2 linked regions of the Oryzias latipes genome follow. Each later gene encodes a partner of the first gene's protein in a complex. Links are inferred from orthologs where the notes say so. Each region holds a gene or a part of one and is shown in the gene's direction. Other genes may lie near its edges.

The links. Proteins that work in one complex are often made in the same cells at the same time.
Region 2: the proteins of tln1 (region 1) and apbb1ip are in contact, whole or in part, in a crystal structure (PDB 4W8P), measured with the Mus musculus proteins. The link is inferred for Oryzias latipes from reciprocal best matches to the Homo sapiens genes TLN1 and APBB1IP. Residues at the interface, in NP_035732.2 of Mus musculus: Leu1492, Ala1495, Thr1496, Val1498, Ala1499, Thr1502, Ser1503, Cys1506, Asn1507, Arg1510, Val1526, Ala1529, Lys1530, Ala1533, Asn1534, Thr1536, Ala1537, Val1540, Ile1543, Lys1544, Asp1547; in NP_062329.2 of Mus musculus: Asn5, Ile8, Asp9, Met11, Phe12, Thr14, Leu15, Glu18, Met19, Leu21, Leu22, Ser25.

The regions. Positions count from the first base shown.
Region 1 is NC_019870.2:24,789,687-24,794,000, forward strand, and holds the start of tln1 (talin-1), read left to right. Parts: upstream 1-1,446; 5' UTR 1,447-1,654; intron 1,655-4,314. UniProt on the Homo sapiens protein: High molecular weight cytoskeletal protein concentrated at regions of cell-matrix and cell-cell contacts. Involved in connections of major cytoskeletal structures to the plasma membrane.
Region 2 is NC_019878.2:23,076,763-23,080,331, reverse strand, and holds part of apbb1ip (amyloid beta A4 precursor protein-binding family B member 1-interacting protein), read left to right. Parts: intron 1-1,235; coding exon 1,236-1,295; intron 1,296-1,681; coding exon 1,682-1,769; intron 1,770-3,016; coding exon 3,017-3,294; intron 3,295-3,569. UniProt on the Homo sapiens protein: Appears to function in the signal transduction from Ras activation to actin cytoskeletal remodeling. Suppresses insulin-induced promoter activities through AP1 and SRE. Mediates Rap1-induced adhesion.

The DNA.
Region 1 (4,314 bases):
GCTGTGGTAGCCACGCTGGTTCAGTATGCCTTCAATTTGGAATAAATCCCCAACAGAGTCACCAGCAAAGCACCCCCACACCATCACACCTCTTCCTCCATGCTTCATGGTGGGAACCAGGCATGTAGAGTCCATCCGTTCATCTTTTCTGCGTCGCACAAAGACACGGTGGTTGGAACCAAAAAACTCACATTTGGACTCATCAGACCAAAGCACGGATTTCCACTGGTCTAATGTCCTTTCCTTGTGTTCTTTAGCCCAAACAAGTCTCTTCTGCTTGTTGCCTTTCTTTAGCAGTGATTTCCTAGCAGATATTCTACCATGAAGGCCTGATCCACACAGTCTCCTTGTAACAGTTGTAGAGATGTGTCTGCTGCTAGAACTCTGTGTGCCATCGAGCTGCTCTCTAATCTGAGCTGCTGTTAACCTGCCATTTCTGAGACTGCTGACTCGGATGAACTTATCCGCAGCAGCAGATGTGACTCTTGGTCTGCCTTTCCTGGGGCGGTCCGCATGTGAGCCAGTTTCTTTGTAGCGCTTGATGGTTTTTGTGAATGCACTTGGGGAGACTTTCAAAATTTTCCCAATTTTTCAGACTGACTGACCTTCATTTCTTAAAGTAATAATGGCCACTCGTTTTTTCTGTACTTAGCTGCTTTTTTCTTGCCATAATACAAATTACAACAGTCTATTCAGTAGGACTATCAGGTGTTTATCTATATGACTTCTGCACAACACAACTGATGGTCTCAACCCCATAAATAAGGCAAGAAATCCCACTTATTAAACCTGACAGGGCACACCTGTGAAGTGAAAAACATTTCAGGTGACTAACTACCTCTGGAAGCTCAAGAGAATGCCAAGAGTGTGCTAAGCAGTAAAAATCCCAGCAAAAGGTGGCTACTACGAAAAACCTAGAATATGACATATTTTTAGTTGTTTCACACTTTTTTGGAATGTATATAATTCCAGTTCCATAGTTTTGATGCCTTCAGTGTGAATCTACAATTTTCATAGTCATGAAAATAAAGAAAACTCTTTGAATGAGAAAGTGTGTCCAAACTTTTGGTCTGTACTGTACATGGATCTATTTGACTACAGTGGATGCATCAGAATGGAGCAGCGCAGGGAGCTAGTGGCTTGTCATTGTAAGTCCTACTGCATTGTGGTTGTCCATAATGATTTGATTAAAAAAAACTGTCAGTTTTCTTAATATATGTTTTCTATCAAGAAAAAAATGCTACAAGAACACGTTAAAGCACCCTATTTCTGCTGGAGGGGGTTTTAAAGGCCGCGTGTATTTGAGCGCGCGCGGTCCCGCTCTGTCCAAAGCAGCAGCGGTGGCATGACCTGAAGCTGTCCAGCTGCGGGCGGGTACCGCCGCGGTCTACACGCACACAGACCGGATCGCTGTGCTGCAGCTGGGCTCAGAGGGTGCTGCGCAAACTCCACCCTCGCGCCTCGTCAGGGTGGAGTTTGAGCAGCACCACAACTCCTAGCAGACAGGGAGGGGAGCGAAGGAAAAGCAGCGCTTGGCCTCTTCCGTCATTAAAAAACGGATTTTGTTCTGGAATTAAAAGTGGAGAAAAGTTCGACGAGGCGGGTCCCACTGCTGGAAGCGCCGCCGTCGACGGAATCGGATTCCCGCGCGCAGGTCAGACCTTCAGAGTTTTTATTTTACCAACTTCGAAAGTTTCGAGTTTGTGGCCAGGGGTCTGTGACGTCACCAGAACGATCAAAAGAACCTGAGCGAAGTGACGTGTTTACGGCTAACGGCTGCGCGCGAGGCACAGTTAAGATTACACGAAGAGGAAACGAGTTTGAAGTTACACGCGCCACATAGACATTGCCCCCCCCTCCCCTCACAACACAGACACACACACACACGCTAACACGCACGCACGCAGCTGAACCGCCGTGTCAGTGGGGCACACAGTGTGCCCCACTGAGTGTGTCCGCCGCTGCGCCCTGGAGGTTACACGAAAGCCCGTCGGGTCGCGCGGCTCGTGTTTCGGACAGGCTCCCATCAGGAGGCCCTGCGGGCCGCACCGCGCCGCTCCTGGGCGTGTTCCTCCGCGCTCTCAACCTGTAGCCTCCGGCTGCACATTCTTCCTGCACGCGGACGAGCCGCCGCGCGGCTTTGCTTTGTAGTCGTTCGTTGACATTCCCGTTTGGATGCGGCTGGAATCCCACTACTAACACCGCTGAGAGATCTGAGTGTGACGCGACTACTGTCTATTTCAGTTTGACGGAGCTGAAGAGGAATTCTTGCGAACACAAAAGAGAGATGGGGATGTAGATCAAAATAACCACCATTGAAAACATGCGACAAACACGAATAATTACATTCTTTTGTTTCACTTTAGATTTCGACTCTCATCTTTTCTTCATTGATGGACTGAAATAAAACGTTCAGTATTTCCTCAGGTGATTTACATTTTGAGGAAAAACAACTTTTGGAGGGTTTTTAAAAGTTCATAGGAAAAAAAGAATTCTTCAGGTTTGCACCTGAAGTATATCAAAACAAATGAATGTATGCACTTCAGTTAGTAATTTAGTCAAATCTGATGTAGATTCACATATAAAAATGTTCTAAAATATTCCTGGACATGAACAAGAACATGAGAGAAATATTATATATTATATTTTCACAAGGATATCAATTTTTTCACAGAATCACTTTGTTTTAGTCAATGTTTTTGGGGGCTACTGTTCGAGAAATCGGCATGAACTCCCTGCTCTTCATTCTAATGCATCCATGGATGCATGTACGTCTTGGTTTTCCTCCTCTGTAATCTGGTTCTAAAACTGTACGACTGGATCCATAGCTACAACCTTGCTTGTCATTTTTGTTGCGCCGGTAATGTTGGGTTGGGGATGTAATGGTGGGAGAGTGTGCAAGCAGAGAGCTCTCAGTTGTGGGTGACGGGTAGGGGGATCGGGGTTGCTCTGTGCCAGGGGTCCCACCTGGGGAAGTACTGATGAACGTCTGCTGCTCTGCAGAAACTATGTCCTAAAAATGTGGCTAAAAAACGGCATAATCATAATTAAAAGACCACTGGGAACACTTTACACTAGATTAAAAGATGATCGAGTGGGACTTTAACGTATAGAATAAATCAATGATGGGACCAAACAATGGTTTATAATGGCTTTTTTTTCTATGCACGCATCATTTCTGGGAACCTTTTGGTGTGAGCCGGAAAAGATCATTCTCAGGGTTTTAACTCCTCCTCCTCAAAGATCTTTAAATCTAAATATAATTTTAAAAAGAACGCTTCAGAAGATAAGAGGAAGTATAAATGTATGCTTAATCATTGAACTTTGTCTTAAAAAACAGTTCAGGGGTGTCTGGTGTTGTGTGACCAGATGCTCTCGTATTAATTATAACCTCCTGGGGAGAATGACTGACCACTAACCAGAGAAACATGACCTTTTGTCTTTATCTGATGTTGTTTGTGGAAAGGTGGCCCAGCAGTGTGGAAGGTCTCTTGGTCTCACTTTGGTGAAAAGATGTTTGCTGTTCAATTCTCTCCTGCAATTAAACACATTTCCCATGAAAAGTAGTCAGTCAGAAAATATTGGGGCAATACCTGCTGGTATAAAAAAAAAAAACTTTCTATAACAGGTCATTGTCTGTTTGCAGCTTAGACAAGTTGCACCTCTGGAGTGGAGCAGAGGCCGAGTGGGTCAGTTCAGACCAAGGCGAAAAAAAGACGCCTTACAGGCAGAAAGGAAACGGCGTGTTAAAAGGGCCTTATGTGATTCTAGTGGTGCAACGTTCATCCTAAGACTGGGAGGTCATAAGTTCAAATCTGTGGTGGCGTCATTCCGAAGACTAAAAATGGGACCCAGTGCATCCCTGCCCGACACTCAGCATTAAGGGGTTGGATTGAGGGGTTAAACCACCAAATGGTTCGATAGGGACCTGGCTGCTTATGGCGCCTAACAGCATTGGCTGGAACCGAAATCCCACCCCCAAAAAGAGTTCAGATTAAAAAAAAAACCTGTCAAGCTTCAAGTTTAAAATGGGGATTTTTTCCCCCCCTGAACAATATGGGGGGACTTCTGGTTTTGGTTGAGGACTTCCAGTTCTGGCTGTTGATGTCCGCAGACAAGTCTTGTATGGTTCCCTCCTCCCCAGAAGAGGGGTTTAATGTGGAAAACCAAATATGTGTGGAGCTAATGAGACTTTAGCAGAACTTTTAACCATTGGTCTGTTTTGAGCCGCTTTGACTAATATTTTTGGGCGAGTGGGCCCTCCTTTGTGAACATTGATCCTGTCAGCTGTTGCAACATGACCATTGAGACCAT
Region 2 (3,569 bases), on another chromosome or scaffold:
TTTCTACGGGCAGGCTGTGGGCGACAGAACCCAAACTGCATCCACTGCTACTGAAACTGGTAATAGGCAGGAAGTGCTGCTCTTCACAGCTGAGAACACTCTTCTGATGCAAGGCAGCAATTCCAAGATGTTGCAATATTTTTTTCAAGCAGCACAGCAGAGACTCTTATGAATTTCACCTTTTTTTAACCGAATCATTGGCAACACTGACTGCCTCCTTCTCCTGCTGTTCATCCAATCACAGAGTCATCCATCGGAGGTTCTGAACGTCTGCCTGAAACACGTAAAATCTAGACAAAGTAAAATTGTAATTCAGAAACCGTATTTTAAACCCATGTAAGACATTCATCTCAAAACCCACAGCTTTTTTTTTTTTTGCAAAAACACAGCACAGAATAATGACAGGAAGCGCCAAAAAACGCAGCATCAAATGTTTGTTAGTGTTTGTGCAGAAGCTGTTTTAACTCCAAATGGCTCCAAAAGCAAAGAGTTCTCTGCTTTAATCTGAAATAAAAACAGCAAATGAAAGTTTCACATCAGCACAGCGGGGCAAGCTGTAACAGAGCGGGAATACCTGGAGGCGTGCATTCCTGCCTTCCTTCAGCCGGGGCGGGACTGTTCTGCAGGATTGTGTCACCTCAGGGAAACGTTTCTGCAGCGCAAAAAGGGGCGACGTTGCGTCTCACCACACAAAACATGCGAGTATTGTTTTATCATTCTTTTAACAGATATTTCCCGATCAATGATCAAAACTACAAGAATTTCTGCAGCAGCCACTGGAAATCATCTTCCTTCACTGCAGCGGGGTTTCCACTTAATCTTGAACCTGGCCTGTGAACCCTGTGACCCTTTGAATAGAAGTTTTCTCTTTATTTGAAGGATATTTCAGTGACCCACCCCCCCCCCCAAAAAAAAACACATTGTGATTGATCAGAAAGAAAAGGATGGAGGAAACAACAGAGATGTTTCTGCAACATTTGGAAACACACTTTTGTTCGTTCTGGTGTTTTGTTGTTGTAAATCGCTATAAAATGTCTTCAGTGGTCCTTCACGTTTTAAATTTCACAAGATCACGTTTACCTGCAGCAATTGAGGCCGACCTCTATGTGACTTTTGGGTCTATTCTGATGCTTAAATGAGCTTAAACCTCCTTCGTGCATTTCTATTGTTTTTGTGTGTTTTGAAATGAAGATTGCATGGAAGACAGTCTCAGTCTTTGTTGGTTCTTTCTCCAGATGGAGGACATTGACGCCATGTTCAGTGACCTCCTGGGAGAGATGGACCTCCTCACTCAGGTGAGTCTGCACATTATTCCAGGGGTTTCTTTAAAAAAACAAACATTTTTTACATTTTCTATCATGATTCCACCGTTTTGGAGCTGGTTTATGCTGCTTAGAAAGTTTGGTTTCTTTTGTTTTTGTGGAACTGATGAGAAAAGTTACCCCAATTATTAATTTAACTCTGAGCACATTTAGCCTTGTTCATAAAAAGTAGATGAAAAAAAAGCAAACATTGAACAAAAGCGGATGTTTGCTCTGATAAAGTTCCAAACTCTCACTTCACGTTTTGGGTTAGAGTTTCAGGCTGTCAGAGTATTTTATTGATCGCTCTCCCCTGAGGGTCGCCTGGAATCAAACCGAAACTCACACTTCTTTCTAACAAAGCCCCCTTTGCTCTGCAGAGCCTGGGTCAGGAAACGGGACCTGCGGCAGATCTCCCCAGCTCCACCAAGGAGGTCAACTTCTCCACCGACTATGCGGACTGGAATGGTGAGAGACGAGTGCTTTTGTTGAGCTTTTGCACAATCATTGGACTGTGCAATATCCTCAGTTTTGCAAGAGCAAAAAGCAGGAAACACATGTTTTCAAAAACCTTTCACGACATAGGAACAAGACAACAAACGGCTAAAAATACCTCGTGTTTACTCTGATTTGAGCAGTGTTCAGGCTCAAACAGCCTCAAATTGCTGCATGTGCACTTTATTTTTTTAACCAGGATACTTTACTTCCTGTTTATGTTGTATCTCACTAGGAAGCAAAAGTTGGAGACTAAGAATTAATTTGGAGGCGCACAAACGGTCCATTTCTGAATCAAACTTAAAAAGAACTTAATCTTATAAACAAAGTTGTTGTCCATTTAGGTCACCAGTTAGAAACCAGAGACTGTTTGTTTATTAAGTTGTTTTAAATGTTCAAAATTAAGGAAAAACAAAAGTGCGACTCAAACACTGACTTGAACAGCGTCTTGTTTATGGCCGTTTGGTTAAAACGTTTTCTTTGTGCAGAATTTACAAACTAAAAAAGTCAAATTACTTTATGATGAAAAACATGATCACACTAAAAAAAGTTTTCCCAGATTCAGTGAACGTAACTTCACTGACTATTTGTTTATGGATCCGGAAAATATGTATTGATTTTCATTGGAACAGACATAAATAATACAAAAAAAAAAAAAAAACAGATCATCAGTGCAAGAAAGCGTTAACAGGGCGACAGTGGCTCAGGTGGTTGAGCGGGTCGTCCAATGATCGAAGGGTTGGCGGTTCGATCCCCGCTCCCACCAGCCAAAATGTCGTTGTGTCCTTGGGCAAGACACTTCACCCTCCTTGCCTCCAGTGTGGCTCCACTGGTGTGTGGATGTGTATGAATGATCCCGGTGATGGTCAGAGGGGCCGTAGGCGCGAAATGGCAGCCACGCCTCTGTCAGTCTGCCCCAGGGCAGCTGTGGCTACAACCATAGCTACCATCACCAAGTATGAATGAGGAGTGAATGAATAATGGACACAATGTAAGCGCTTTGGGTGTCTTGAAAAGCGCAGATAAATCCAATCCATTATTATTATTATTATTATGTACAATAATACTGCACAAATTATTGCCCCGAATTATAAAATGAATTATTTAAATGACAAAATAGGTCACGATGATTGAATAATAATGTAAAAATATTGTTTTGAGTTACAGAAAATCCACAAACTCTAAACTGAAGGTAAAAACAGATCATTTTTCCTCATCAGCGTCCCTCAATGAGCTGGAGGACAAGGATCTGGACGACCTCATGTCTGACTTGATGGCCGACCTGAACGCCACCGAGGAGAAGCTGGCGGCGGAGATTCGGGGCCTGGAGGCGCCAACGCCGCCCCCGCCCGACCTGCCCCCTCCGCCCAATGGCCAGAGCGTTCAGGCTGCCGCCGCCTCTCCCTCGCCTGCATCGTTGGCGAGCGCCTTCCCGCCCCCCTCCTCCACCACCTCCCCCCCGCCGGCTCCCCCGTCTCATTCGGCAAAGCCGTCAAAGGTGAGTCAGTGGATGACCTTTTCACCTCCTCACGCCAGGAGTTCCAGTGAGGACTGACTGAAAGCCAGTGAGATCATCACAGGTCTGTCTGGACCGGTTCAGACAGTCATTAGGGGAGGGGGGAGCAGGACCAATAGACCTGCCAGGGGTTTGATGTGAAAGTGTTGGAGGGGGGGGGAATATTGCTTTAACAGAGTTCCTGACTTCATCCCTGTGAGGTGAGAACAGCAGCTGTGGGAAGACGTCATCGTTGGCTCCTGAGATGCCTGAAGGCA